Rhinolophus ferrumequinum: one gene and its partners. The protein of the gene in region 1 interacts with the protein of each later gene in a pairwise test. Links are inferred from orthologs where the notes say so. Each region holds a gene or a part of one and is shown in the gene's direction. Other genes may lie near its edges. The genes, in order: KXD1, MAP1LC3A, CCDC185 and C18H4orf46.

Region 1 (7,383 bases):
CTAAGGGCACACGGTACCCCTTCTCCCCTGTGTGGTCTGTCTAATCTCCGGGAACTTGCCTGACGCATACAGGAGGAGCTCAATAATGGCTAGGTGAGCTACTGAGCGAGCAGGGCCGCTGGGGGTAGTTACTCCTCCCTGTACCTTGTGCCAGAGAGTGATAAAGTGCCCATGGTCCCTGGAGAAGGTGGCTGCCTCGATTAGATGGGTTATTATGGATCTTGTTTTGAAAGGAGGGGCAATTATTCTTCCCTGGCTCTATTTTTTTTCCAGCAGTTACCACCATCCAGAATAATCTTGTTTGTTCTTTTGCTTCTTCTCCTTTCTTCCCAACTCTGCTCCTACCTAAAAGGAATTTTGCTTGATTTGTTCCCCACACACACACCTCCTTGAATGATGCCTAGCACCTATGGGAGTTCAGTAAATGAACTAATAATTGAATAAATGAATGAAACTGGCTTTGGAGGTAGCTAACACTGGAGGAGGTAACTAGTTTTTGGAGGGAACTAACTTGTTAGATCAGTGCTCGGAGGTCATCTCCTACAGGAAGACCTCCCAGACCTCCCCAAGGCAAGGCCAGGTGCCCCAATTGGCTGTTCCTAGACCCATGAACCTCCACTTCATAACTCACTGACTTTTATCCGTGCCATTACTTGCCTTACCTCTGCCCACTAGTCTAGGAGACCCTCAAAGTCTGTAACGGGTCCGTTGTTTCTCACTGTTTCAGTCCTGAGGCCTGCACAGTGCAGAGCACAAAAGGTGGAGGGTGGGAGGACTTGGGGAAATCATTGTGGAAGGAAGGAAGCAGGCTCATCAGCCAAAACAAATGGGAAAGCAGTGAGGATATATGAGGAATTGCCTAGGAAGAATATCAAACCCTGGGTCAATCCCAGTTCTGAGGGACTTGGACTATTACCTGTTCATCTCTGATCTTCAATGTCTTTATCTGCACCCATTCAGCCTTACCTCTTTCATGGGCTAGAGGAATTGTAATAAAAGATACTATACATAAACAACTAAAATAAATATAAACTAATAACATCAACAATTATAACAATAATATCGTGTTTCCCCGAAAATAAGACCTAGCCGGACCATCAGTTCTAATGCGTCTTTTGGAGCAAAAATTAATATAAGCTCCGGTCTTATATAATATTACGTAAGACCCAGTATTACATTATAGTATAGTATAGTATTATATATTATATATCTTATATTACATAAGACTGGGTCTTATAGTAAAATAAGACCGAATCTTACACTAAATTTTGCTCCAAAAGACGCATTAGAGCTGATTGTCCAGCTAGGTCTTTTCAGGGAAACACGGTGACAGCTGAGACTCCGGTGTCACAGGTGTAGGCAAAAACTGTGTATTTAATCCTCCCATCAGCCTTATGAGACAAATACTCTGATATTTGGAATCCACATCATTGGCTACGTACAGAGTTGCAATCGTTACATCTTCCTGGTGAACAGAACTTGTGATTGTTGTGACATGCCCCTCTTTATCTCCATGCTTCTGGCTTTTGAGTGGACTTTGATATTAAGATTGCACACCTATTCTCTTGGTTTATCTTTTAAAGTTTCCATTCTTTTCCACCCCTTATCTTCCACCTTTCGGTACCCTTATGTTGTATATGTGCCTCTTGTAAGCAGAATAGAATCAGGTTTTGTTTTTTGATCCATCCTGCCCATCTTTATCTTTTAATTGGGGCATTTGGTCTCCACATTTAATGTAATTACACACATATTTGGACTTAAATCTGCCCTCTCGTGTTTTTTCTCTGTAATACCTTCTCTATGCTCCTTTTCTCTCTCTTGCCTTCTTTAGAATTCGATGTATGTATTTTGGTAAGACTCTTATTATCCTTATTCTGCAGATGGGGAAATTGAGGCACAGAGAAGTTAATTAACTTGTTCAAGGTCACAGTGATGAAGGGCACAGTGGGCCTGGTATCTTACCCCATTGAGCTTCTATTCCAGCCAGGGAGCTGGATACTGCATAAACAATAATGCAGATAAGTATCTAACTGCAGCTATGATGAATGCTATGTAAGAAATAAAATTGGAAAAAGTGGCAGAGAAAGGTTTCCAGTGCCCAGACTTAGGCCTCCCCCACCACCAATGTCCCCATCACTGGGGCAACTGAGCAGTCACATCATTTCCCACCCTCTCCCTCAAACACACAAAGGAGGAAAATATTTTTCTTGTCTCTACTCCACTGTGCACAAAACATTTGGGGCCAGCCAAGTCCCTTTTGGCCTCAATGTGCAGCCCCCACCTCTTCCGGGACCCTCGTAAATGTTTCCTGGCCTCTAACAGAGCCCAAGGGACCCATTGAAAAGCTTGATTTCTTCAGCCTGGGCCTCTTCTGCTGCAGCCTGCAGACAGAGTCATGGTTCCACTTTCCCCAGCAGCCCCCACCAGTGCTCCCCTCTCAGCACTGGCTGCTACCTGGCTCACTGAGCTCTACAGTTCTTAAAAAGATCAAGTCCAGACTAAATGTTTTCCCACCACCCTGTCTTTGCTCCTGTGATTCCCTCAGCCTTGAATGAAAGTCAGCACCTAGAAAACTCCTAATCCTACCTCAAAACCCCATCCAGACATACTTTCTTCTTTGCCCTTAAAAGGAGTTCTCATACCCCCACTCTTAAGGTTCCTCCAGCTTTGAGTCTCTCCTCCCTCTAACCCAGCAGTGTTCCACTCAGGGTTGGGAGTGTCTGAGTCAGACTCTGTCTCCCTCCATCCTTCAGGGCTAGGCAGGGACTGAGTACTCTCTGGATTCCCAGAATATGGGCCAAATCCAGAGGGGGTGGCTAGAGGGTTACTGACAAGTTTTTTAGACTTTTGAACTAAGTGTTTAAGAGTCCTGGTCTGTATTAACTTTTCAGTGAATTAAGGCAGCAAAACATGCGGGTAATAATACAGTTTACCAAGGGCTTACAGTGGGCCAAGACGTGTAAAGAACTCACCTGCCTGATTTCATAAGGTTAAGCCACTTGCCCAAAGCCATCCAGCTAAGATGTGACAGAACTGGAATTAGAACTCAGATATATCCAATTCCAGAGCTCTTAAAGAGTCTTTCATGTGCCCCAGAGCATGGTATGTGTTTATCTCCCAAGCTTTCAAGAACCTTAAAAGGCAACTGTGGTGATCACCCAGGCTCACAGTTAACAAACTGAGACCCAGAAAAATTAGACGTATAACATACACACATTATAAGACCTCCATAACTAATGATAATGAATTGCTAATATTTATTAAGCAATTACTATTTTGTAATTGCCCCGTTTTGTTTATGGTTTTCAGTATATAGCCAAGGTGACAGATGTAGGAGTAAATATAGATGTGTGTATGCATAGGTTAGTAGACATACTATGTATTTGCTAACTCTGACAGCTGAGAGCGTGGTTAAGCAATGAGCACACCCAGCACCCAGACCTTGGTTTTTAAATACCATTCTCCAAGAACAGGAACCAGTGTCCTTGGAGAAACTGCTGATTCCAAGGATATGCCAAAGCAAACATGGAAAATCTTGTGCCAAAAGTAAGAAAGTACTTACTTTCTTACTTTCTTAGAGAAAGATGGAAGACATATTAAAGAACGTAGGTGATTCACTTAAAGGGGCAGCAAGATAAATAACAGAATAAAATTCTCATGAGTTCAGAGCAATATAAATGTGAATAAATACATAATTGGAGAGTGGACAGCTCTTGTTTAGCATAAATTCCAATTAATAATTAAATTAATAAATAGAAAAAAGTAAAAATTGTTGACAAGAGCCATGAATGGATGCTAAAACTTGTGGGTGTCAACTGCTTTTTAAAATGTTAAAAAAAAAAAAGTATTTGCATTGTCTCTTAAGTAGCTCCCCATAAGATACTTATTAATTAGAAAGGTGAAAACAGTGACTTCGTAGTTGAGAAACCGTCAAGACGCTGTCTTAAGCAAGTCGTCAGTCAACATCGCATGCCTCAATATAACGCATTGAGGACACAGCATCGCTTCTATGGGATTCCTGCCCAAATTCCTTAACTGCAGTCTAATCCGGAGGAAACACTGGATTAAACCCATATTGATGGGTTTTCTACAAAACCAGAAATCTTCAGAAGTATTAAGGTCATGAAAGAGTAGGAAAAGACTGAGGAACTGTCACAGAGTGGAGGAGGCTAAGGAGATGTAATTAAATGCAACGTGGGATCCTGGATGGTAATGGACCAGAAAAAAGTCAGCAACAGCAGAACACGGATTCCTGAACCCGGTGAATTTGATTCCCAGCCTGGAAAGCTCGGGCTTTGGAAGCGACGTAGGCGAGAGAGTGACTGCTTGATTGGCTTTGTGTTGTGACGCACAAGCGAAGAGACTAAACCCTCCCCCTTCCTGCCGCGCCTCCACGCACGCAAATCGGCCCTGGGCACGTCGCCGCCACGTGCGCATGGTGCGTGGTGACATCAGGGCGGCGCGGGCGCCATCCCGGAAGCGCGAGCAAGGCCGCCAGATGTGCAGGTGCCGCTGCCGCCGACGCCGGGGCCGAGTTTGGGGTGGGGCTGGGGCTGCCGGGGCCGCCGGGGAGCCGGGCCGGTTCGAGCGCGGCCCTGGGGCTGTCGTGGGGTGGGGCGCGCTTTTGGCCACATCTGGGCACCCCTCCTGCGCACAGGCCTCAGTTTCCCTGTCTGCTCAGTTGATCCAGGTCCAGGGTGCGGGAGTTGGGGCCGCCTGTGTCACCTAGAACCGGGCGTTGCCCTGGTTGGGCTTCAGTTTCTGCGCTTGGCAGGGGCGGGGTGTGAGGGGATATGCGAACCTCGCTCCCACTCCAGGGTTTTGCTAAGCTTGGGCCACCAAATTGAATTGTTAAATGCCCTGGGTGGAATCGCGTTGCCTCTCCGCCTGGCCGTTTTACCTTGGGCAATTGAGCCGGCCCCTGTGAGCCTTAGTTCTCCTCCGAGATGAGAGTGTTTGCCTCATAGGCGTGGTTGGGGATTAAATTTGCTCATGTTCTTGGAAACACCTTAGAGGGTCTCGTCAAAATGCTGATTCCCGCGCCCCAACTTAAAACGTCTTCAACACTCACCTTGGAGAAACAGCCTGCTCGGAATTAAGCTTATCACCGTTGGTTTCAGTCCCCACAAACAGGACTGTGAGATTGTTATTCCCATTTTCTGGATGAGAAAACTGGTTCAGAAAGGTGAGGTGACTCTCCCAAAGTCACACAGCCTCCCTCTCAGCGTGTTTCCCTCATAAAAAGAACAGATACCAGAGCGCTTGCTGGGTTATTTCCACCCTTACGTGGTCCACAATAGCTGTTAGGGAAGGCTTTCCTCAGAGAAGGAGCTGGCAGTGGAAGGATGTGCCTTGAATCTCACATATGGGAGCCAGAGACAGGAAAGAACCCAACTTTGAAGCAGAACCGTTTCCTGCAGGTCCAAATCTTGTGCCTGCCAGGCTTTAGTTGTGGGCTTCCCACCAAGGGACTGCCCTTTGAGCCCAAGTAGCCTCTTTATACGTGATCACACTTTTTTGGAAATGTGGAGACTGTGAATGTCTGTACCTGGCACATAGGAGCTCAAAAAATAGTACTAATTGGCAGGGCGAGAGGATTTCACCAGGTGTGGCAGCTTATTTCCAGAAGGCATGTAGGGGCTGCAAAGCACTAAGCCAAATTCATGGCATAAATACTCTTGGCCCCATGGTGTTTGGGGGAAAAGAGGGTTATTTGCTAAAATTTGCAAATGAGGTGATTTCACGGGGGAGGGGGGGATGCACATTTCTGGGTATTTTTCCTGGAAGCAATCAGAAGTCTGGCAGGAAGCAGCTGCTGTAAGAAGCAGCTGTGCTATCATGGGTGGATACTGAACATCTGTACAGGGTCACACCTTTGTGGATCCTGCGGACCGTGGATATTTGTGACTCAGGTTCACTGGCTACGTGACGATAGCTCAGTGCCTCAGTCTCTGAGCTTGTTTTCTCACATACAAATAAGGGTAACAGTTCCTATGTATAAAGTTGGTACCTTGTTTAGCTTACAGTAGGTGCTAAATAAAGAGGAGGGTGGATTAAGTGGGCTCTGAAAGCCCTTACTGATCCTGTGTGTGAATCTTAACCAATGGCAAGTGGGCCTTTCTGTCGGCCATTAAATATGTGGGCTCCAGAACCAAGCTATGTCAGGATTCTGGGTTTTTCCTGAAGCTCCCCACCAGTAGGGTCAGCGCTAAAGCTGTGGCCTTTCTTGCCCTGGCCTGATCCAGGAAGCCCAACCCACTGGGACGGTCATCTACATGCTAGGGAAGCTGAGAGCCCCACAGCTCTCTGGGTTGCTGAGGTCCACAGACTGGCTGCAAGTGCCTGAAATTCTTGGCTTTATTTGCTGTTAAAAGTTCAGCATTACAGCTGAGTTTGAAAGTCCTGTTTGCCTCTGACAAAGGAAGTTCTGGTGATTCCTTGCTGTGAGCCAGGTTCTGGGCTGGGCTCTGGAGACAGCAGTGAGCGAGGGAGACACATGCCTGTACTCTTTTGGAGCTGGCAGTGCTGTGGGGGTGACAGGCAAACAGGTCAACTGTTAACTAAGGGAATTTCAGGCAGAGGTGAGCCAGGGAAGCAACTAAAACAAGGTGATGAGAACGACCAAGGTAGGGATAGTCCTCACGGATCTCACGAGGTGAGGGTGATCCGACGGCACAGTGGTGCATGTTCCGCCGGGGGGACAGTAGGCTCTGAGCTGGGAATGGGCAAAGGCAAGGGGGTGTGGGAGGAGGTGGGCAGCTAGATCTGTGCAGGTGGACGGTGCCAGTGGCCCTGGGCATATGAAGAATGGGTGCTGGGGAGGGGAGATGGGATTCCGATGTGCTGGGGTGCAAGTTATAAATGTGACCTTCTGGAGTTCTCGAAATACCCCTGAATTCCTGGGATGACAAAGCTGAGGCTGAGGTGGCATGACCGACCCACTTCCAGGCAGCCTGTGGGGTTCCCGGCCCCTCCTGTCCAACCCCCCACCCACCCATGTGCCTGGTGCAGACTGCAGATTTTCTTCCCGTTTCAGGCAGCGGCGGAGGAGGAAGACATGGACCCCCCGGCCTCGGCCTCGAGGGTCTTCTGCAGCCGCATCCTGAGCATGGTGAATGTGGATGACGTCAATGCCATCATCCTGGCCCAGAAGAACATGTGAGTGGTGGCCAAGCAGCCTGGGCTCCAGGCGTGGGAAGGAATCCACTTGCCAGCCAGCATTGTTGCCCAGCCCGCCCCCTCACTGGTGATAAAATGAAGGAAATGAGCAAATTTGCTGGCCAGCTCCTAAGTAAATTCCTTCCTGGCCTGGAGGCGAGCCCTTGGCATAGGAAGCAGGGCTTTGAGATGGTTTCACAGCTGCAGAAGGCTTGGGGGGGCGGG
Region 2 (7,054 bases), on another chromosome or scaffold:
CTGGGCCATGAGTGAGCCCTTGACCTGAGCTGGCCCTCTTTCCCCAAACACTCCTCTCAGACCTGTAGTGACCAGCAGCAGTGCTTGGCCCAGACTCAGTCCCTGCGCATGGTCTGGAGGGGACACAGACCCTCTCAGATGGGCAGTGACTCCGAGAGATGACACGTGGAGGCCCAGAGCAGAGGTCCTCAGCCAACGAATCATTTCTGAGCACCTACCTACCATGTGCTGCACTCTGTGTAGGCGCTGGGGAACAGCAGGAGCCAAACATACAGGAAACACTGTCATTAAGGGGTGTGCATGTTAGCAGAAGGGAGAAATGAAATAATAGAAGGAGCAGCAGGGAGGCAGGTCCCACACACCTTGTGGGCCATTGTTTAGCCTTTGACTTGTGCTCTGAACGAGTGGGATGCAGGAACAGCATGATCCAGCAGGATCACTCGTCAGTGTAGTGAGACCAGACTGAAGCAGGCAAGGCCAAAGCAAGGAGACCAGTGAGGAGACGATGGTAATAATCCGGAGATGATGGTGACTTTGGCATGAGTGGCAGTGGTGGAAGTGGTGAGAAGGGATCAGATTCTGGAGATATTTGAATGTAGAACCAATAGTATTTGAGCATAGATTGGATGTGGAGGGCAGGGGTGAGGGAAAGAAAGGAGTCAAAGATGACAGATGGGGACAGGGAAAATTACAGTTGGCGCACATGTATGGGAGGAAGATCATGAGTTCATCTGGGGAGGTCAAGTTTGAGATGTTTGCTAGACTTTGAAGTAGAAACAAAGAGTAGGCCAGACCTTTAGATTCAGAAGAGAAGGGGGAGAGGAGGAAGCAGTCAGCAGAGAAACCAGAGGATTGAAGGAGAGGTGTTAGTCTGCTGACTGGTCGGGTAAGAGGAAGAGTGAGCACAGACTTTGAGATTTGGGGGATGGGCCCCTCCCCCACTGCAGCCTCAGCCCAGGGCTTAGTCTGACAAAAGAGAGGTGTAACCACTTCCCCAAGGCCATGGCCAGCCTAGTTCTTTCCATTGCTCTTATTGGCTCTTATTACACTTAGTCTCATGCAACTTTGTGTTTGTGAGATTTGTCCACTTTGACACACATATCTGTAGATCAAGAGTCAGCAAACTAAGGCCCTAGGGTCAAGTTTGTTTTAGCAAATAGCCACAGCCATGCCCACTCTGGTTGTCTAAGATTGCTTCCACACTCCAACAGGACTGAGTGGTTACCAGGGCCACATGGCTGGCAAAGCCAAAAATATTTATTGTCTTGTCTTTTAAAGGGAAAGTTTGCTGACTCCTTCTCTTCCTCTTTCACTATAACAGTGTGTTGTTCTGTTATAGAAATACACCACGATATTTAACTGGACATTTAGGCGGTCGCAATTTTTTGCTATTATGAAAATGCTCCACTAAACATACCTGTGTTTCTTTGGGCTCACGTGCACTCGAAAGTAGAATCCCTGGTTTGTAAAATATGGGCATCTTCAGTTCTGATAGATTTTGCCAAATTGTTCTCCAGGGTGGCTGAAAAGATTTATACTCCCATAAGCAGCGTAAAAAGTTCCCATATTCCTCTAAAACTTGGTATAAAACTAATAAAACTAACTTTATTAGTTGGCAATCTTTTATATATATATCTACACATATATATATTCTTTTATATATATGTGTAGATATATATTTTATATATATATAAAAGAATATATATATATGAGAATATATGTATATGAGTATATATACATATATATGTGTGTGTGTATATATATATATATATATGTATATATATATATGAGAACACTGTGTTTCTCTAGGGTCTATCAGCTCCAAGTCATTGTCCTTCAATCTAGGGCGCAGCTCAGCTCCGAGGCCAGTCGCTATTTTCAGTCTTTAGTTGCAGGGGGTGCAGCCCCCTCATCCCATGAGGGAATTGAATCTGCAACCTTGTTGAGAGCTCACAGTCTAACCAACTGAGCCATCCGGCCGTCCTACCGTTTCCCCAAAAATAAGACCTAGCCGGACAATTAGCTCTAATGAGTCTTTTGGAGCAAAAATTAATATAAGACTTGGTCTTATAGTAAAATAAGGGTCTTTTATTATGTTAGATAAGATCTGATCTTATAGTAAAATATAATTTTACTTATAGTAAAATAAGACTGGGTCTTATCTAACATAATTAAAGACCCTTATTTTACTATAATATAAGACCAAGTCTTATATTAATTTTTGCTCCAAAAGACGCATTAGAACTGATTGTCTGGCTAGGTCTTATTTTCGGTATGAAACACGGTGTTGGCAATCTTTTATTGTTTGTAGATTCCTTGGGTTATTCTGGCTGTGAATGATAGTTTTGCTCTTTTTGCTCTTTTTTTAGTCTTGGTGCTCTGGCTGGGACCTCCATATAATACTGCATTTTGTTTGATGAAAAAATTTTAAATTTTGTTCCTGGCTTTGAAGGGAACAATGCTTAACATTTTACCATATACTGTGGTATTTTACCATTAAGTATAATGTTTGCTCCAAGTTTGGTTATTTTTATTTATTTATTTTTTTGGGAGAACACTTAGGAAACCATTTGGACTAGTTGGCTTTTTGAGGTATATGGCTACTCAGTTTGCCTATTTCTTTTTCATTTAGTCTTGGCAAATTATCTTTTTTGAGAAAATTGTTATTTCATCTAAATTTTAAACTTATTGGCATGAAGTTTATATAATCTTATTTTTGTCATTTCTGATATATATAGTTATGTCCTTTTGAAATTAATTTTATTTTATTGATCTTTTCAAAGATCTAGCTTTGTTTTGTGGTCCATACTAGTGTTTGTTTTCTATTTCATCAATTTCTCTTCTTCATTATTATCATCCTTAACTTTCTTTGTGTTTACATTGTTATTCCTTTTTAAAATTCTTTGACACTGCTAATAAATTTCCTGTATTCTTACCTAATATAACAAGGCTATAAATCTTCTAAATGCTGCTTTTAGCTGCTCGGAGTTTTTATTTTATTCTCATTTTTGGTTTGATCTAAATAATTTTCATTTCTGTATGATTTCATCTTTGAGTAGTAAGTTTTTTAGAAGAATGTTTAAATGTCCAAACATTTGGAGTCTACTTGGCTCATGTCTGTGGTCAGGGAATATGGTCTATATGAAACCGATTAGTTGATATCTGTTGAGAAATTTCTTGGAGTCTCCTAGTTAGGTTTTTTTTTTTTTTTTTGTAAATGTTTCTTGTGTGCTGGAAAGTAACATATTGGGTTCAGGGTTCTATCAGGGTCCATTGATCAGGACTATTGATAGTATTAAAATCGTCTATATTCTTTTTTCGACTGTTTGGTCTTCAGTTACTGAAAGAGGTCTTACTTAAATCTCCTACCCTGCTGGAGGATTTGGCCATTTTTCCTTGTATCTGGTTACTTTTGCTTTATACATTTTCAATACTTTTTTTAAACTTCTAACATACAAGTTCAGAATTGTTGTATTTTCCTAGAAAATTGTTCTTTTAACCATTTTGTGGTGACCCTCTTTATCCCTAAGCACATCTTTTTCCTTACAGCCTATTTGGTCTGATTTTCTTATATCTTTTGGTTAGTTTTTCTGAAGTATACCTTTTGCCACCTTTTCACTGTTGGTGCCCTAAGGTTTTAAATGTCCTCTTGTAAACAGCCTAGAGCTGCATTTTATTTTTCTTGGCCAATCTGATCATCTGTTTTAATAGGTGAATATAAAACATTTTCTACCTCTGATTATGCGCCATTTATAATCCTTTCTTTTTACTTTGCCTCCTTTTTCTTTTTTTCTGCCTTCCATATTTTAATACCCTTTACTAACTTTTTTCCTGCATTGGCAGTTATACTTTCTATTCTTTTAGTGATTTCTCTTAAATGTCTGAAATACATATTTGACTTTACAAAGCTAGACAATTATCATTAACTTCCTCCTCCTCTCCTATAAATCAAGCTTCTTAGAATGCTGAACTCTGGTTACCCTCTCCAGTCTTACCTGGCCCTGTGTTCAGTGCTCCTTGTTTTGCACTCCACAAATTAATCATCACTAGTCATGTTCCAATTAAGTGCTTGTTTAGATGACTTACATGTTTACCAATTTAATTGCTCACCATTTTGCCATCTAATTTCTTGTCTTTAGAGTTCTGCAAATTCACTAAAAAGTACCTAAATGCTTTTATTTTTATTTATCCTGCTCTGGATTTTATGTGAGGATCCTGGTCTTTAATTTTGGAAGCTCTTCAGGAACTGCCTCTCTTATATTCTTTCCTCTCTGGAACTCTAACTGGACATGGGCATTCTTCTCACTTTACCATTCCAGTCACTTCCTCTTTTATACTCCGTCCCATCACCTTTTTTATCTATTTAATTGCTTCTGATTATCCTCCAATTCAGAGAGATTCTCTTCTGCTGTGTCTAATCTGCTTTCTTGCCTCATTCTTTGCGATGTGAATTTCAATAGTTCTATTTTTCAATTCTAGAAATTCCTTTTTTAAACCTCTATGTTCCTTTTTAGGGCCTTGCTCTTTCATGTTTTAATTTCCCCACCCCACCTTTTTCTTTCTCTAACCATAAGCTTCATGAAGGCGAGGAGGACTTTTGGTTCACTGCTGTCATTCTCAGCACTCGTACTGTCTTGGAACTGACAGACTCGAGTGTGCGCTGTCACATGACAGTGACAGCAGGAATAGAGGATGCTGAGCCGCAGTCTGGCCTGCGAGTCCAGGCTTTCCAGGCTCTGCTCAGCCGGGGCCAGGGGGAGAGAGACCCGCGCAGGCCATGACATCATGGGACTGTGACGTGCTCTGGGAGCCCCCGCCCTTCATAGTTAGTGCGCGCTGGGAATCCAGGCTCTCTGCGCCCTGACATCACGGTCCGGGCGGGCGGGTTTTGCGTCGGCCCAATGGGAGTGGCGCGCCGGCCTCCCCTTTAAGGAATGTTGTGACCTGACGTCACCCGGGCGAGTTACCTCCCCGAGTCTCCGCCGCCGGGCTCAGCGTGAGCCCCGGAGCCCTTGAGCGCGAGGTACAGAGCCCCCGGAACCCCTGAACCGCAGCCACATCCCCGCGCCGTGCGCCCCGGAGCCTCGGCCTGTGCGCCCGCCGGGCCCGCGAGATGCCCTCGGACCGGCCTTTCAAGCAGCGGCGGAGCTTCGGTGAGGCCCGGCGGGCAATCAGCGACAGTGTGTGTGGGGGGGTGGGGGGCGCGACCGACAGGGCTGCCGCAGGTGACGTCAGCCCGGTGACGTCAGGCTCCAGCTGGACCCCAGGCTGGCAGGCAGGTTCAGGCCTGGGCCCCGGCCTGCCCGACGGCTCCAGGGGTGGGGGCTTTGGGGAGGTAGGGCCGGAGGGGCCACACCTCTGGGACAGGCGGAGTGAGCCGCGAAGAGGGCCCAGCTTCACTGCCCGACCTCCTTCCGCAGCCGACCGCTGTAAGGAGGTGCAGCAGATCCGCGACCAGCACCCCAGCAAGATCCCGGTGAGTCCCTCCGCCCCCTAAGCTCCCCGCCCGGCCCCAGGCCCCGCCCCGGGCTCACGCGTTGCCGCCCCACACGGTTCCCAGGTAATCATTGAGCGCTACAAGGGTGAGAAGCAGCTGCCTGTCCTGGACAAGACCAAGTTCCTGGTCCCGGACCATGTCAATATGAGCGAGTTGGTCAAGATAATCCGGTGCGTGGGCAGTACTGTCAGGGGGGACTCGGGTCCTGCTGGGGTCAAGCAGTGGGCCAGGTCCTGAGAAGGGCTCGGGTGGGGCAGGGCATGGGGCGTTGGGTACCTGTTCTGGGGAGGGTGGGAAAGGTCAAGGTCAGGGCTGGGGTCAGCGTCAGGTGAGAGCCTCTAGATGGGGCTGGGATGCGTGGGAATCAGAGGCTGGGCATCATTTGGGGGAAATCTGAGCTGCGCCCACCCAGCAGCCAGGGCCTCCTGTCCACCGCAGGCGCCGCCTGCAGCTGAACCCCACGCAGGCCTTCTTCCTGCTGGTGAACCAGCACAGCATGGTGAGCGTGTCCACGCCCATCGCGGACATCTATGAGCAGGAGAAGGATGACGATGGCTTCCTCTACATGGTCTACGCCTCCCAGGAAACCTTCGGCTTCTGAGCCAGCAGTAGGGGGGGCTGGCCTGGGAGTGGGGGGCCCTGTCAGGCTCTGCCCAGGGAGCTCCTGGCTCCTGCACTGAGCTGCCTCTGCCTCTTAGGTCGGGGCAGGGATGCCACCCCTTGGGGGCACCAACCACTCCATCTCTGCCCTGGGTAGATCCTGAGCCAGTCATGTTAGGGTTGTCCCTCTGGGTGCTGGCGGGTGGGGAGCAGCCCCCAGCACCCCTGCTCTGTCTGGTTCGTTTTTTTGTTTGTTTTTTTTTTAGGCCCCTGCCTGTCTGTCCACCTGCCCCTCCCCCACTCGAGGCGCTGTCCCCAGCCTGGACCCACCCACCCCTGAAGGTCTGGCCCCTGGCTCACCTGGCCTTCACATGGTGTATGAATCTGTGGGCATTGTCCTTCTGCAGAATAAAGATTGCTCAGGCCTGCCTGGCCCTTTGCCTCCAGCTGCTTGGGAGGGGTGGGGAGGACTCTTGGTGGGGCTGTCTCATGCTATTCTTGGCTCGCCAGTGCACATACTTGGATCCTGTGGATTTAGGGTTCATTCTGGAAACCCACATCCTTGTGAAGTGTACCAATGCAGTATTAGGGGCCAAGCCCACGTCTTCATAACAAAAACCATTTATTAAGTACCCACAACCTAACAAACCCTTCTCACCCTTCTTCCCTTTTCCTGCCTGGGAGGGGGCTCCTTGGTGTGCAGAGAGACAAAAGGGGGGTCCAAGTGGAGGTGCTCCTGGCAGCCAAGGTGCCACAGACCTTGCTGCTAGCCTTGGCTCCTCTTTGGTGCCAGGATTCGTGACACTGGACTTGAACCTCTTCTAAGGACTTGTCTGCTGGCACCTCCGGCTCGAGGGCTTGGCCCAGCTTCTGGCCTTCCCACCCCATGAAGTCCATGCAGCCTTGTGCCCAGCCAGGCCTATTTGAGCACAAGCATGGCCTCGGTGCCGTCCTTGG
Region 3 (6,527 bases), on another chromosome or scaffold:
TAACTAATATAAAAAAGAAAAGCATTGACATATTTTACTTTTTTCCATAGTAAATTTTTGAAATCCAGGGTGTATTTTATCTCGATAGCACATGTCAATTGGGACTATCCGCATTCAATGTGGCCGCTGGCTGCTGTATCGCACAGAGTAGCTCTCGCTGATTTCCCCCTTTTGACCCATCCAAGAACTAGAAGCTTTGCTAAGAGATCGAATCTGAAGCCACTACAGTAACTACTAACAGCCGTTCTGAGGAAGGGCCCAGAGCCCAGTTCTGTTCCATAAGTTAATTTGAATTGTGGAAGCAGAGCACATTTTGCCGTGTTTTCCAAGCTTCCAGCAAATGAAGAAACGAGGCCCAGGTCTTCATTTGGCAGAAGTCCCAAATTCTGGGGCCGCCAGTGAACTACACTGAGGATTTTTCTGCCAAATAAAAAGGAGGCTGGTGGTTCTTAGTATCAAGGGACTGCTTGGCAGCTTAACATTTGCAAAACATCTCTTTCATCTGCCTACTGCAAGAGCTGACAGTGGCTTCTGGGATTGTCATCCTCCCAGGGGTCAGATGCTAAAGATGCTGGTTAGAAGGTTGGCCCTGCTCCCGCTGCCCTGCTCCAACCACCCTCCCACTTCCCCCCCAGGCCCCTCAGAGAAAAGCTGTCTCTTTCCCGTTTGTCAGTCTCCTCCACATATTCTGTTTGCTGTTTTGTGTGGGGGTTCCCTTATTACTACATCTTTTTTCACCTGATTTCCAAGATCACTCTTTTCAAGGTCTCCTAGAAGGAGACCTCTTGTCACTGGCACTCACCATCTGCCCAGGCACCCAGGTGAGAAACCCTCTTTCTCCAGATGGAACTCATCTTCAGATCATGGTCCCTCGATCTCCGAACAGTCCCTTGAATCCATCCCTTCCTGTCCCCCTGCCACGGTCCAGGTTTATACTTCCTGCTGGCTCACCCAGATTAGTGAATCAACCATCTAACTGGCCACTGTCTCCAATTCCCCTCCCCTTACTCCCCAGTTTATCCTCAACACTGCTGCCAGGGTAAGATTTCTAAAATATAGACCCAATTGGGTAATTTTTTTGGTTTCAAGACTTTTACTGACTTTTCACTGCCATCTGCACAGTGGTTTTCAATGCTTTTTATAAGCAGAACCTTACATTTTTTCAATGTGATGAAACCAAGAGCCCCAGGATACAAAACCTAAAATCTGAGCTGCTGTGGGGACAGAGGGTCAGGGCAGAAGCAGGGACAGAGGCCTGAGAATCTGCCCTGAAGTTCTCAAGCCCCACATCCTATGGGACCCATGGCAGCTGTAAGGAATCCCGGAGCTCCCTGGAAAGCTGGAACGTGCAGCCTGGCAGTCAACGCGCTATGGCATCAGGGTCCAGCCCACCTTCCTTTTTCGCTTTTTCGTGAAACTCTCCCCTCCCACAACGGCTACTCTATCCCGAATTATGTCTTGGTCCTCTGCTACTCTCACTCCACCCAGTCTACACGTGCAAGCTCTCACACAGCTATGCTTTCTCCCACACGACACTGCTTCTCTGTGACAAGAAATAGCCTGGCACTGGCCAGAGCCCCATTTGGTTTTGCAAAATGCTTGGCAGAGCCGTAACCAAGAGAGATGACACTCAGGTATCAGCACAATTCAGTTCATGCCTCCATATTTCCTAGCTTAAAGTGAAATGATTCCGTTTCGAATTTGATTTAATTTTTTTAGAAGTTGCCTCCTTATACAAATGACAACCACAGATAACTTCTCTAACAATGGTCTGAGTGGCGCTTATAGAAATCTAGGGTAGAAGTTAAAAAGGAGAAAGGACCAGAACACAGCCTGTTCTATCCCTCAAGATATTAGTATTCACTCATACAAAACACAGCCTTACCGACTCTCAGCCTCATGGTCGTTGGAAAGTAGGGGCTGTGAAGGTAAAGAGCGACCAGCGGGCTGGATATGTCAATTACCTGGATGGGAGGGAGCCTATCACAATGTATACATCTATAAAACCACCACATTGTACATTTTAAGTATCTTACAACTGTGTCAATTATACCTCAATAAAGCTGAACGCCCTTCCCCCCCAATAAAAAAGAAATCTAGGGTAGAAACAACTTATCCTCAGCTATAAACGTGCTAATGACCACATCGGAGATCCCACCCAGGCAGAGAGGGCTCCTGGAAGAGGAGGGCTCAGCTCCTCTAGTCCAGGCTGCTACCACCTGGCTTCAAGGACCTGGCCACCATGACACTCTGGTGTATATCTCATCATAATTTTCTTAAAAGCATGTCATCTTAGGCAGCTCAGGCTGCTATAACAAAACACCCCAGACTGAGCGGCTTCAACAACAGATGTTTATTTCTCACAGTCTGGAGGCGGGGAAGTCTGAGATCAAGGTGCTGCCTCCATCCATTCTGGTAAGGGCCTGCTTCCCAGATTACAGACAGCCACCTTCTGGCTGTGTCCTTATGAGGAGAGAGAGGAAGCTTTGGTCCCTTGGACATTAATCCCATCTAAACCTAATTACCTAGCAAAGGCCCTGCCTCCAAATACCAACACGCTAAGGGCTGCTGGGGCTTCAACATATGAATTTGGGGGGACACAAACATTTGATCTATAACACATGCATCCATTCAAACTGCATTTCCTGAGAGGCAGCACGATGTCATGGAAAAAGAAGTGAATCTGAAGTCAAAACTCCCGCCAGTGACATTGTGCTCTTTGGGGAAATCAGTTAACATGGCCAACTCTCAGACCCGTCTGAAGCAAACGTCAATTCTGTTGGGCCCACACAGCTGCAGTTGCTGTGAAACTCCAAGTAGATGTGGGTAAAGAAGACAGGGGTGAGTCAATCTTCATTTTTCTTCTTTAAGGAGTCACCCTCTTTGAAGAATGTCAACCAAAACTGTTCCCGCGTTGCACCTCAGAGAAGGGAAGTGACTTAACCAAGATCCACAGTGCAGGATGAACGTGCAAGAGCCTGGGGGCCGCCCCTCGCTAGCACATTACCCTTCACCTAAACTGTTTTAGTAGCACCTTAAGCCCATTCTTTTTTTCTTAAGCTAGGAATCCACAGAAACTTTCGTTAACCCATATATTAAGTCTTACAATTTTTAACTGAAGCCTAGCAGGACATCAAAATATTTGTTTAATGCATTAAGGTGCTAAGCTCTTGACACATAATTTCGTCTGACCCTCAGGACGGCTCTGCAATGCCGTGTGTTATCATCAGCCCTTCGTCCATTCCACTTTTCCAGAATTTGAGGGTCAGGAAAGGCAGGTAACTTGCCCAAGACCACACGGGTGGAAAGTGGCAGAGGTCATTCAAACTCATGTTTGCGTGACCAAATCGTTTTTTTCCCAATAGCCTAGGGTACCTCAACAAGGAAAAATAATCTCATGAAATTAGAGAAAAGGGTCAAAAATATTTTTTTTTTCAGAAATGTACACACGACATTCACATTTTGACAAAAGCAGGAATTGTCACGTTAGGGGAAAATGGACAAGTCTTTTTCCTGTTCTAAAGTTTAAAAAGTAACCAAAACACACTTTGGATTTGCTAACTTAAGCAGGCAAAAAGGTTGTACATATTAATGTGCTTCCACAGCCGCGTACTTTGCAGACTCCATATAGGTACACAGAAGAAGGGGTGGTGACTGAGGCTAAGCCTGGCTCAGGGGATTCCACCCCCCGCCCCGACCCCCTCGATCCTTCCCTCCACATTACATTCTGGGGTGACAGCTTCACTCAGGTCCTTTTAAAAGCCTGCTGCTTTAAAGTGTATAGATGTGAGATCAAATTCCTGCCTGAAATGCTGGTGGGGGTTCACTACACACCCTCAGCTCTTAGGGTCACCCCTGATTTCCTACAGCTCCCCTCTACCCTGCACCTTCCCCCGGCCTTCTACCCCTCCCACTGCCCCCATCGCAGTACGAATGCTAGGGAGGCAGGGGTGGGAGAGGGCCGAGGGCTGCAGGACCCTGGCGACTGGGGCATTGTGAAGTGGCCCTAGCGTCACAGGCGCCAGGGATCCCTGCCCCAGAGGGCCGGGGGCGGGTCTCAGCAGCACCCCCTGGAGGCCGCAGCACCCTGGCTCATACGCTGCGCGCGCAGGGAGGGAACATGAAGGGCTTAGGCAACTTCTCCTCGCTGCCCTACCCAGACCTCTGGGAGCCTCCGCCGCTCGGCGGAGGGCGCGCGTCCTCCTCCTCGCGGCTGCGTGGACCCAGACCCCAGACCCAGCCGGCGCAGGGCTCCTGGGCTGGGACTCCGGACGAGGGGAGTGAGGTTGCCGCGGCCTTGTCACCCCCGCACTGCTCGCCCACCCTGCGGCCTCGCCGGCGCCAGTCACCCCACAACTCACTGCGGGAAAGCCATTGCCTGAGAGAGATGGCCCGGAAGCCCCCAGACCGCACCAGGAAGCGCGGGACCCGCAGCCGGCGCCTGGAAGATGCCTGCGGGGAGCCAAGGACCCAGCCCCACCCTCTGGGGAGAAGTAGGTGCAGGCCAGCCTGGCCGCAGCAGCCCCAGCTGTCACCCCAACGGCCCCAGTCCTGCCAACACTACCCCCCAGCCCAGGGAGATTCGCCCCCACCGTATTCCACGGGTGCTTACACGCCCCCGAGTGGAACTTTCAGGGCAGAAAAGGGACAGAGTGGAGACCCATGGGCAGTGCCGGTCTACAGAGGTCAAGATTGCTGTTCCCTGTCCTCAGTCCCCACAGAGAAGTCGTCTGCGCCCTCTCAAGCGTTCGCTTGCGTGTCCACCCAGAGGAGGGACAGTAGTGATGGCATGGAGTTATTAGCCGGCCAGTACTCCCAGCCCTCAGTCTCCAGAAAGGAGAGGCAGAGCCAGCGCACCCAGATCCTCAAGAACAAGCTGGAAGAGGCGGTAACGTCTTCCAGGGACCAGAAGATTGTGGCGCTGGTGCTCACCCGTCTCAAGAAGGCCCAGAGGATGCGGGAGCTGCAGCAGCAGGCGGCTGCAGCCTGGGAGGAGCTGAAGCGCTCGGACCAGAAGGTCCAGATGACACTGGAAAGGGAGCGCAAGCTGCTACTGCAGCAGAGCCGGGAGCAGTGGCTGCAGAAGGAGCAGCGCAAGACTCGCCTGAGCGGGGAGCAGCACGTTGGACGGAAACAGGACGGCCACGCCAAGAACATGGTCCAGCAAGAGAACCAGTGGAAGGCGCAATCAGAGGGCCCGGAGACCCAGCGCCAGGAGAAGCTGGAAAGGGCCCGCCCCGAGGCTGATCACAGGAAGCATTGCCAGGTCCAGCGCCAGCAAGAGCAGGAAGAGAAGGTGGTGCGGCACCAGCGGGAGCAGAGCAGCCTGGAGGTGCAGAAGAAGCCGGAGCAGGCCTGTGACAAGAAGCAGCTGCACCCCACCGGGGGCCAGAGGAAGGTCCAGGAAGCCAATCTCAGCTCCCTAGTCAATTACCAGGCCCGGAAGGTCCTCATGGACTGCCAGGCCAAGGCTGAGGAACTCCTCAGGAAGCTGTCCCTGGAACAGAGTTCCCAGTGGTCCCAAGAGATCCACCAGGGCCTGATTCGGGAGCGTCACCGCGAGCTGAGGGAGAAGGCTCGGATGGAGGAGGAGCAATTCCAGCAAGTCAAGTGGTGTGCGGAGCAGCTGGCAGAGCAGAGGAAGGTGCACAAGCAGCTGTTGGTGGAGCTGGCGGACCAGCAGTTCCAGCAGGACAGGAGCAACGTCCACAAGAACCTCAGGGACCAGGAACAGCACATGCAAGAGCTCAACATCCTGCGGGAGAAGAACCATCACATCCTGAAGCTGAAAGCCGAGAAGGAGGAAAAGTGCCACGTGGAGGGCATCAAGGAAGCCATTAGGAAAAAGGAGCAGATGGAAGAGCTCGCCCGAGAAAAAGATGCCAACTTCGAGGAATTCCAGAAGATTTCCAGGGCCTCCAGGAGGGACAACGTGGGAGCCAACAGACTCTTTGCTCAGCTGGACCGGGAGGCCCAGCTCCGTGTGGGTCAGCAGAGAGGGGGCTACTGAGAACCTGACAGAGAGAGAGAGAGAGAGAGTGAGAGCTCACCGCCCAGGCGGCTGGAAAGACATCTGGTGATGTGATTCCATTTATAATCTGATTATAAGGGAGCATTGATAGTAAAAAAATTATAAAATAGCTACAATTTCCTCTCGTGAACTAGTTTGTCCATTCACTTGGGTCGTTGAGAGGGTGAGGGATAGACGTTTGGGAATTTTAGGAAAATTACTTGCCTTTGTGAATGTTGACTTAAATAGAAACGATGCATTTAGCTCTCAAGTAATCTGAGAAGCACATATCGGGCACATCTTGGAGGAACCAGAGAAAAATCTACAGTAGGAGAGATTGTTCTATGTCATGGTTTTTTCCTCTCCCAGAATTTACGAAAGGGTGAAGTGTGAAGTACCAGTCATAAGAAATCTCCAAGAAGAAGAAAAAGAAAAAGCATGTAGATTTGGGATCCCTGCATACTGCGTCCCCCCTTTAAACATGAAAAGTTCAAAGGCTCTGAAAAGGCCTGTAGTA
Region 4 (7,539 bases), about 23 Mb from region 1:
GAAAAGAGAAGCCATGGAATGGGAGAATATATTTGCAAATCATACGTCTGAAAATAAATTTGTACCTAGCATATATAAAGAACTTATTTCTAATAATAAAAAAAGACAAATAACCCAAATAAAATCAGGTAAAGGAGCTAAACAGACATTTCTCCAAAGAAGATAATACAAATGGCCAATAAGCACATGAAAAGATGCTAGGCATCATTAACCATCAGGGAAACACAAATTAAAACCACAGTGAGATACCACTTTCCATCCACTAGGATGGCTAGAATCAATAAGGCAAATAATAACAAGTGGTGATGAGCATATGGGCAGTTGGAACCCTCATGTACCGCTGGTGGGAATGGTAAATGGTGCAGCCACTTTGGAAAACAGTCTGGCAGTTCTTCAAAATGTTAAAGATAAAGAGTTTCCACGATTCACTCCTAGGTATATACTTAAGATAAAAATATATGTCCACACAAAAACTTGTATACAAATAAATGTCCGTAGCTGCATTATTCATAACAGTCAAAAAGTGGAAACCCAAATGTCCATTAGTGAATTAATCAATGAAAAGTGATATATCCATACAATGAAATAGCACTCAGCAATAAAATAGTCATATATGCTACAACATAGATGATCCTTAAAAACCTAAGTGAAAGAAGCCAACCATAAAAAACACACATATTACATGATTTTATGTATATGAAACATCCAGAACAAACTAATCTATAGCGACAGAAAATAGACTAGTTGTTGCCTAGGGCTGGAGGGGTTGGGGAGTGACTCATGGGTATGGGGTTTCTTTCCGGGGTGATGAAAATGTTCTAAAATAGACTGGGGTGATGGTTGCAAAACTCTGTGAATATACTAAAAACCACTGAATTGTACACTTTACCTGGTGTAAAAGGTATGGTATGTAACTTAAATCTCAATAAAACTGTTATTTAAAAAGGCATTTAGTCACACACACAAACGGTTATGGGGAAAACACTGGTAATTTTTTTTTTTAGAATCTTGGATTTGGAAAGGTTTTTTCTAAGTATGGTAAAAGTCTCAAAAATCATTTGATTAAAAATTTTAAACAACTATGAACAATAAAAGATGTAAACATAAATTGCTTAGTTTTCTGTATTCCCCAGTACATAGCATAGTCCTATAGTATTTTTCTTTTCCTTGTTGTATGCTAAATCCCAGTGTTAGCCTATATATAGGTATAAATATTTGGTGACTGAATATTATATAGTCCTTTCTATACTTTCCTTCATTATAGTACTCACTTATGATTCACCGTGGTATTATAAAATACGCTAGTGCTTTTTTAGTGTCATTCTCTGTGAAAAGGCAAGCCAGAGTTATAAAACAGAAGCATTGAAAGGCCAACATGAGGGAATAAAAAGATAAGCCAGACTGGGAGAAAACATCACAAAACACAAAGCTGATAAACAGCTGGTATCCAAAATATACAAAGAACTCATAAAACTCAAGTAAAAAATAAACTCAATTTAAAAAATGGGCAAAAGATCTGGACAGATACCTAACCAAAGAAATACAGATATACAGGTGGAAAATAAGCATATGAAAAGATACTGAACATCTTATATTATTAGGGAATAGCAAATCAGAGATACCACCATACACCTATTAGAATGGTCAAAATTCAAAACACAGACAACGCCAAATGCTGACGAGAATGGGGAGTAAGAGACTCCCAAGTATTGCTGGCAGGAACGCAAAATAGTACAGCTACTCTGGCAGACAGTTTGGCAGTGTCTTATAAAGCTAAACATGCTCTTACATATGATCCAGCAATTGCTCTACTTGGTATTTACCCAAATGAGTGGAAAATTAATCCACCCAAAAACCTGCTGTCAAACAAGATGAATAAGCTCTGGAAATCTGCTACACAACATTGGACTTATGGTCAATAATAAGGTATTATATCCATTTAAAAAAATTTCAAGAGGGTATATCTCATGTTAAGTGTTCATATTATAATAAAAGATAGAAAATATAGGATTAAAAAAAACTTCATGTGAATGTTTACAGCAGCTTTATCCATAATTGTCAAAACTTGGAAGATGGCCTTCAACAGATGAATGGATAAAAAGGCTGTGGTGCATCCATACAATGGAATATTCTTTATTACTAAAAAGACACGAGCTAGTTGCCAGGAAAAGATATGGAGGAAACTTAAATTCATATTGAAAGAAGCCAATCTGAAAAGGCTACATACTATACTATATGATTCCAACTATATGACTTTCTGGAACAGGCAAAATTATAGAGACAGTAAAAAGATCAGTGGTTGCCAGAGGTTCAGGAAGAGAGAGGAAGGGATGAATAAATCAAACATAGGAATTTGTGGGCCGTGAAACAATTCTGTATGACAATGTAATTAATGGTAGATACATGTCTTTATACATTTGTCAAAACCCATAGACTGTACAACACATCCAGTGAACTCTAATATAAACTATTATTAATAATAATGCATCAATATGGACTCACCAGTTGTAACAAATGTTCATTATATATTTATATTTTTATTAAAATATTTTAAGATGTATGATGCATTGTAGTTTTAGTGTATAGAAGTTATCATTTGCTTCTGAAAACGGATGATTTGGTATCAGACAAATCTGTAATTCTATTGCTTATACAGCTAGTGTTTTTTTTGAGAATATTTGGAACTGAGTAGTCTGATTTCCTCTAGGGGGTAAAAAAAAAAAAAGTCACGACCTTTAATCTTTTCTGAAAACAAATCTGACATTTCACTTTAAAGATCTGAACACTTAACACACCTTGGCTGAATTTTGGTAGAGAAGTGAGGTCAAAGTCCATTGAACTTATCACATCACCAAATCAAAGTCGCACTGACAGCACATTTATGTCTATCTCATCCTTGCCAGTAGTACTAACAGTAAGCTATGAAAATGGCAATGATTTAAGCATCCAAGTAAAATGGAAATGGTAATTTTGGTGGAATTTTGTTAGCACTTGGCCCAAGAATGGCTTCAATTAAATTAGGCAGTAGGGCAGATGGCATCTGACTACTCTGATAGTGCAAAAACAAACAAACAAACAAACAAACAAACAAACAAAGGCATTTCTATACATTAGTAATACATGCACAAGTTAACAGGAACTTCAAACAAAATTCTATTTATTTAATATATGGTGAACAAATCTGACAAAATTCTACTTTAATGAAATTTACATAATGATATCCTTAAATTTGCCATATATATATATATATATACTTGTTTATTCCATAACCAAAAATTAAAGATAAAAAATAAAGCCATTTGTGAGAGAATTCAACTGTAGTGAACTTTTTCTTCACCCTGTAGTGAATTTTTTTTCGAATTTAAGAGCTTTGTTTTGTTTTCAAGTAAAACAAAACACCATCTAACTGCATCATTCTTTTTTTTTTAAATGAAAGGAGAGTTAATGTGGTATTTTCACAAGTCATCGTGATGGCTCTAGGTGCACCCATAACATGATTAAGCCCGTAGAGTTAATTTTAGACAATGTAGAAAAATCTCTGGCTCCAGATATAATCTGGTGACTGGGGAAGCATATGAATGTTAATTATGATGTGACAGATCAGACTTCAAATTCTTAAGAACCGGCTAGCATGGCTGTAAAGGCCATGCAACTCAGGTCAGGACCACGGAGAAAAACCGTGCAAAGATTATTTTATCCGTTTCTAACAATGTAACAGACAATACCTGAGCGCTGGGATAAGTGTCAGGACCAGGATTTGGCACCATTCAGCTCAGGAGTCCACCCGGAGGCCGTGTTGATTAACTTTCCTCCGCTCATGACCTTTAGCCTAGTTGTCAATTTTTTCCCTTTAGGACAACGAATCCCATGGGAAGGAATCTAGGGTCCACCACCAGGCGCAGACAATATGACCTTTGTCCTAGTTTAGCATGAGAAAGCCGACGAAATGAGAGATGAAAGGAGAAAGGTGTCCACAGCCCCCAGGTGTGACCCTGTCCGTTTCTCCCTAATCACTCGACCTTCCTCCACTTATCCCTCCCCGAAGTTCCCGCTCACCCGGGCAGGACAGCTTGGCTAGCGGCACCAACATGTTCACTGTAACCAGGACTCCCGGTCGGACACAGCTGAAAGAAGACAGCCTGTGGCTCGCCCCGGGCGCGGGACCTCTATGCCTCCGGGGGCACCATCACCCGCCAGGAAGCACCAACCCTTCTGCTGAAGTTTACCTCCCAGTTCACCCTACCACTTTGACTCACAGCGTGACCGCCTCTTTCTCGCTCTGCGTCGGCGCCGCGCATGACGCAATGACCAGCAGAAGCTTCCGGGTCATGTACCCGAAGAGGAAAAGGAAAGGGATTCCAAGTTCCAGAGCGGCCCGCGGCTTCAGGTTGCGGATTCGTCTCCGCCTCCGTCTCGCCCAGACGTGCTGAAGACGACAGAGTAGGGTGGGAAGAACCCTCAAATCCCATAGTACAACGCGCACGACCGGAAAACAGTGAGAGACGGAGTGACACGTACGGCATCCTGGGAGTTGTAGTCTTCTGCTGAAGTGCCTTCTAAGCAAGGCACGGAGCTTTGCGCAGGAGCAGTGAGCTGCCCAAGGTAAATTGACCGACATTTGATTGGCTGTCCCGGAAAAATGAACCGTTTTAGGGGCATTGGGCAGACATCCACAAGGAGACGGGGCGGGACTTCGGGTGGGAGGAGGCAGGGCCTCTGGGCTTTGGGCGCCAGCGGTTGAAAGGCAGTTGGTGTCGGTTCGGCAGCTAAGTTCGGATTCCACCGTCCCTGCCCTTCTCCATGGCCGACCCTGAGGAGGTGCAGGTTTCTTCGCAGCCCCCGCCGCCTTCCCTCTCTCCCTCGTATTCAGATGCCTCTGCAGCGTCTTCCCCTGGTGTCCCAGTACGTTTAGACTGGCCAGTTCCGAGCAGGAGCATCGGCCCAACGGTGGACCTGCTGGAGGAAGTGGAGCTGCAGATCGGAGACGTGAGTATCGCCCGACAGGTCCCGGGCCCGCGTCCCCACTCGGTGCTTGTTGGCAGACAGACTGCGGTGGGGCCGGGGAGGGACGGACAAGGTGTCCGCACACCCGACCTGGCGCGTCTGGCGCTTCTCTCCCCTGAGTGTGTGGGCTGGGGAGTGGGGTGGGGGAAGCCTGCGCCCGGAGGCCCCGTCCGGCGGGATTCTGCCTTTATATTTAGTGTTGCGGAATTAGGGGTTATGCCTCTACCCGCCCCATCCCTCACTGTTTTCTTTTTGCCTCGCCTTCTGGTTTCAATCAGCGGCTGTAACCCGAGACCACTCAGAGCGGTCTCTACAGAGCGGACTTGTGCTGGCTCTGTCTGCCCTCTCATCCTTCGCCCTTGCTGTCTGGGGGTGCTTCAAATCAGGCTGTGATTTCTCTCGGTGGGACGTAAAAGCTTGCGGTTCTAGTTGGTCACCTGCCCAGAGCCAGTCTCAGGCCTATTGCCAGTTTCAGGCCTGTTTTGGCGCTGCATCCAGTTTGGAGGGGTTGGTCGCTGCCCCTGTAGCCCAGATTGGTTTCATTAACCGTGTAGTCACATATCCCTTCCTATGGTGGTTAGAACGCCTGGTCTGGTTGCTTTCTGTTAAATCTAGGAGTCCCAGAAACTGGCGCGCACGCGCGCGTACACACACTCATCTGCAACGCTAACACACACACCACCGGAGGGGGTCACAGTATTTAAGGTCTCTTGAGTAGGTCAAGTGATACGCCGTAGGGTGTAATCTTCCTGGGAGAACTTTGTGGAATAGACCCCTCCTGTGCAAAGTGGAAACTCAGGAAAGAGCTCGATTATGTCATGGCTCAACAAGTATTCGTTTTTTTTTTTTTTTAAGATGAATAAAGTGCTGATACAGCTTCTAATTTTGCTGAACAACACAAGACTGGTCTCAAGTGAATATGTAGAATGGAGTGCTGATGTGTTACCTAGGAACAATTATTTTTATATCGTAGGTGAAGAAAACATTTAACTAAGAAGTGAGTTTTCCATCAAGAGTTGGATATTTTCTGCATGTGTTTTGATTTTGTTGTTATTTGTCAGCTCAGAGTATCTGTTCTTTGGTCTGTACATTTTCATGGTCCAAAGTATTCACAGGTAGAAATAGTGAACAATGCCCTTGTTACCCAAATATCAAGAGTTGTTTCTGATGAAGCCTTTCAGATACTTCTGGTACTTAGTCTCAAGGGGTCCAAGTCATCTTGTTGAACTAAATGAGACTCCAGTGTATTTTCAATTTAAAACAAAAAGCAAAAACCTGACTTGTCATGTTTCATACATAAAGGATATCTTTCAAGCAGACATATTTCCTCAAAGCTTACTTCATATTAAAGAATTTCTTGGGTACCCTGAAAGGGCTGGTGTTTTAGTTTGAAGATTTTTTACTTTTAAAGAAAATAACTTGGACATTGGATTTGAGGTTTTAAGCTATTTTTAGACTAATAAAATGAGAATTTAAAAAATAGACTTCTATTGTTTGACTTTTTTTTTTTTTTTAAATTTCAGGCAGCATTTTCGTTAACCAAACTTCTTGAAGCCACATCTGCTGTATCAGCTCAAGTGGAAGAGCTTGCCTTCAAATGTACAGAAAATGCACGTTTCCTTAAAACATGGCGGGACCTCTTGAAAGAAGGCTATGATTCTTTGAAGACTGACAACTGATTAGGCTGTGTAATAACTCATACTTCATTTATATTTGCACATGTACCATATGTATAGTAGGATAATCTCCAGTAGTTCTGTATACTCAAAATGAAATTTTTCTTGGTTTTCTTCACTTTTGTGAAAGTAGAACACTGATGTTATTTTTGAGGCTGGCGGGTATTTATCTTAATACTTTCTGTCCTCTAAACTTTCATAGAGTCTTTTACGAAAGTTAATTTCATCAGTAGATATAATACCACAGTGTTACTACCAGTAGCAAACTTGGTAAACCATGATTCTATTTGATCTGCAGGAAGATACCAAGAATGGCAGAGTTTGAAGTTAAGCTTCATTTTACAGACCAAGAAAGGGAACTTTAAGGTTAGTAATGTCAGATCCAGCTCCATTAGGCTAAGTTCCCTGGAACCAATCATTGTATCTTACTTACTTCCATATCCCCAGCTCCTAGAACGGTATCACACAACAGTCACTAAGCGTTTGTTGAGTAAAAGAGGTAACAACAATTAAAATCTGTTATTTTTCCCCATTTTTAGCATGAAGGTTATAATTGTTTCTCTAAAAAAATATTTGAATCAGAACCTCGTTGACTTGAAGGAAAATGTTCCCTTTTTTTTTACAGGGATTTGAACTTTAACTGATGACAGCTTTTAAAAATTTAAACATTTTTTGCCCTCTTATGAGGCTTTTTAAAACAAGCTTTTACTTCAGAAAATGAAAGCATGTCTGGAAAGAATGCATATTTTTTCCTTATTTATTTCTAAGGTTAACTGCTTCTACAGATAATATTTCTTGCATTTGATGTTGTTGTATTTTTGATTGCTGTCTTTAAAGTGCTTTATCACTATTATAGTTC

Evidence for each region.
Region 2: the proteins of KXD1 (region 1) and MAP1LC3A interact in binary tests that used the Homo sapiens proteins (3 or more experiments, as listed by UniProt). The two-hybrid records come from large-scale screens. The link is inferred for Rhinolophus ferrumequinum from reciprocal best matches to the Homo sapiens genes KXD1 and MAP1LC3A.
Region 3: the proteins of KXD1 (region 1) and CCDC185 interact in a two-hybrid assay, tested with the Homo sapiens proteins (2 studies listed by BioGRID and IntAct). The two-hybrid records come from large-scale screens. The link is inferred for Rhinolophus ferrumequinum from reciprocal best matches to the Homo sapiens genes KXD1 and CCDC185.
Region 4: the proteins of KXD1 (region 1) and C18H4orf46 interact in binary tests that used the Homo sapiens proteins (3 or more experiments, as listed by UniProt). The two-hybrid records come from large-scale screens. The link is inferred for Rhinolophus ferrumequinum from reciprocal best matches to the Homo sapiens genes KXD1 and C4orf46.

What each region holds. Positions count from the first base shown.
Region 1 is NC_046301.1:51,279,119-51,286,501, forward strand, and holds the start of KXD1 (kxDL motif-containing protein 1), read left to right. Parts: upstream 1-4,383; 5' UTR 4,384-4,506; intron 4,507-4,518; exon of another isoform or gene 4,519-4,541; intron 4,542-4,655; exon of another isoform or gene 4,656-5,185; intron 5,186-7,036; 5' UTR 7,037-7,057; coding exon 7,058-7,158; intron 7,159-7,383.
Region 2 is NC_046306.1:20,672,403-20,679,456, reverse strand, and holds MAP1LC3A (microtubule-associated proteins 1A/1B light chain 3A), read left to right. Parts: upstream 1-4,677; 5' UTR 4,678-5,113; coding exon 5,114-5,153; intron 5,154-5,420; coding exon 5,421-5,476; intron 5,477-5,560; coding exon 5,561-5,667; intron 5,668-5,935; coding exon 5,936-6,098; 3' UTR 6,099-6,531; downstream 6,532-7,054. Other genes in the region: PIGU (phosphatidylinositol glycan anchor biosynthesis class U protein), read right to left, coding at 7,017-7,054. UniProt on the Homo sapiens protein: Ubiquitin-like modifier involved in formation of autophagosomal vacuoles (autophagosomes). While LC3s are involved in elongation of the phagophore membrane, the GABARAP/GATE-16 subfamily is essential for a later stage in autophagosome maturation.
Region 3 is NC_046310.1:12,729,217-12,735,743, forward strand, and holds CCDC185 (coiled-coil domain-containing protein 185), read left to right. Parts: upstream 1-4,120; coding exon 4,121-6,010; downstream 6,011-6,527.
Region 4 is NC_046301.1:28,016,032-28,023,570, reverse strand, and holds the start of C18H4orf46 (renal cancer differentiation gene 1 protein), read left to right. Parts: upstream 1-4,536; 5' UTR 4,537-4,800; coding exon 4,801-4,986; intron 4,987-6,527; coding exon 6,528-6,683; 3' UTR 6,684-7,539. Other genes in the region: ETFDH (electron transfer flavoprotein-ubiquinone oxidoreductase, mitochondrial), read right to left, coding at 4,057-4,090.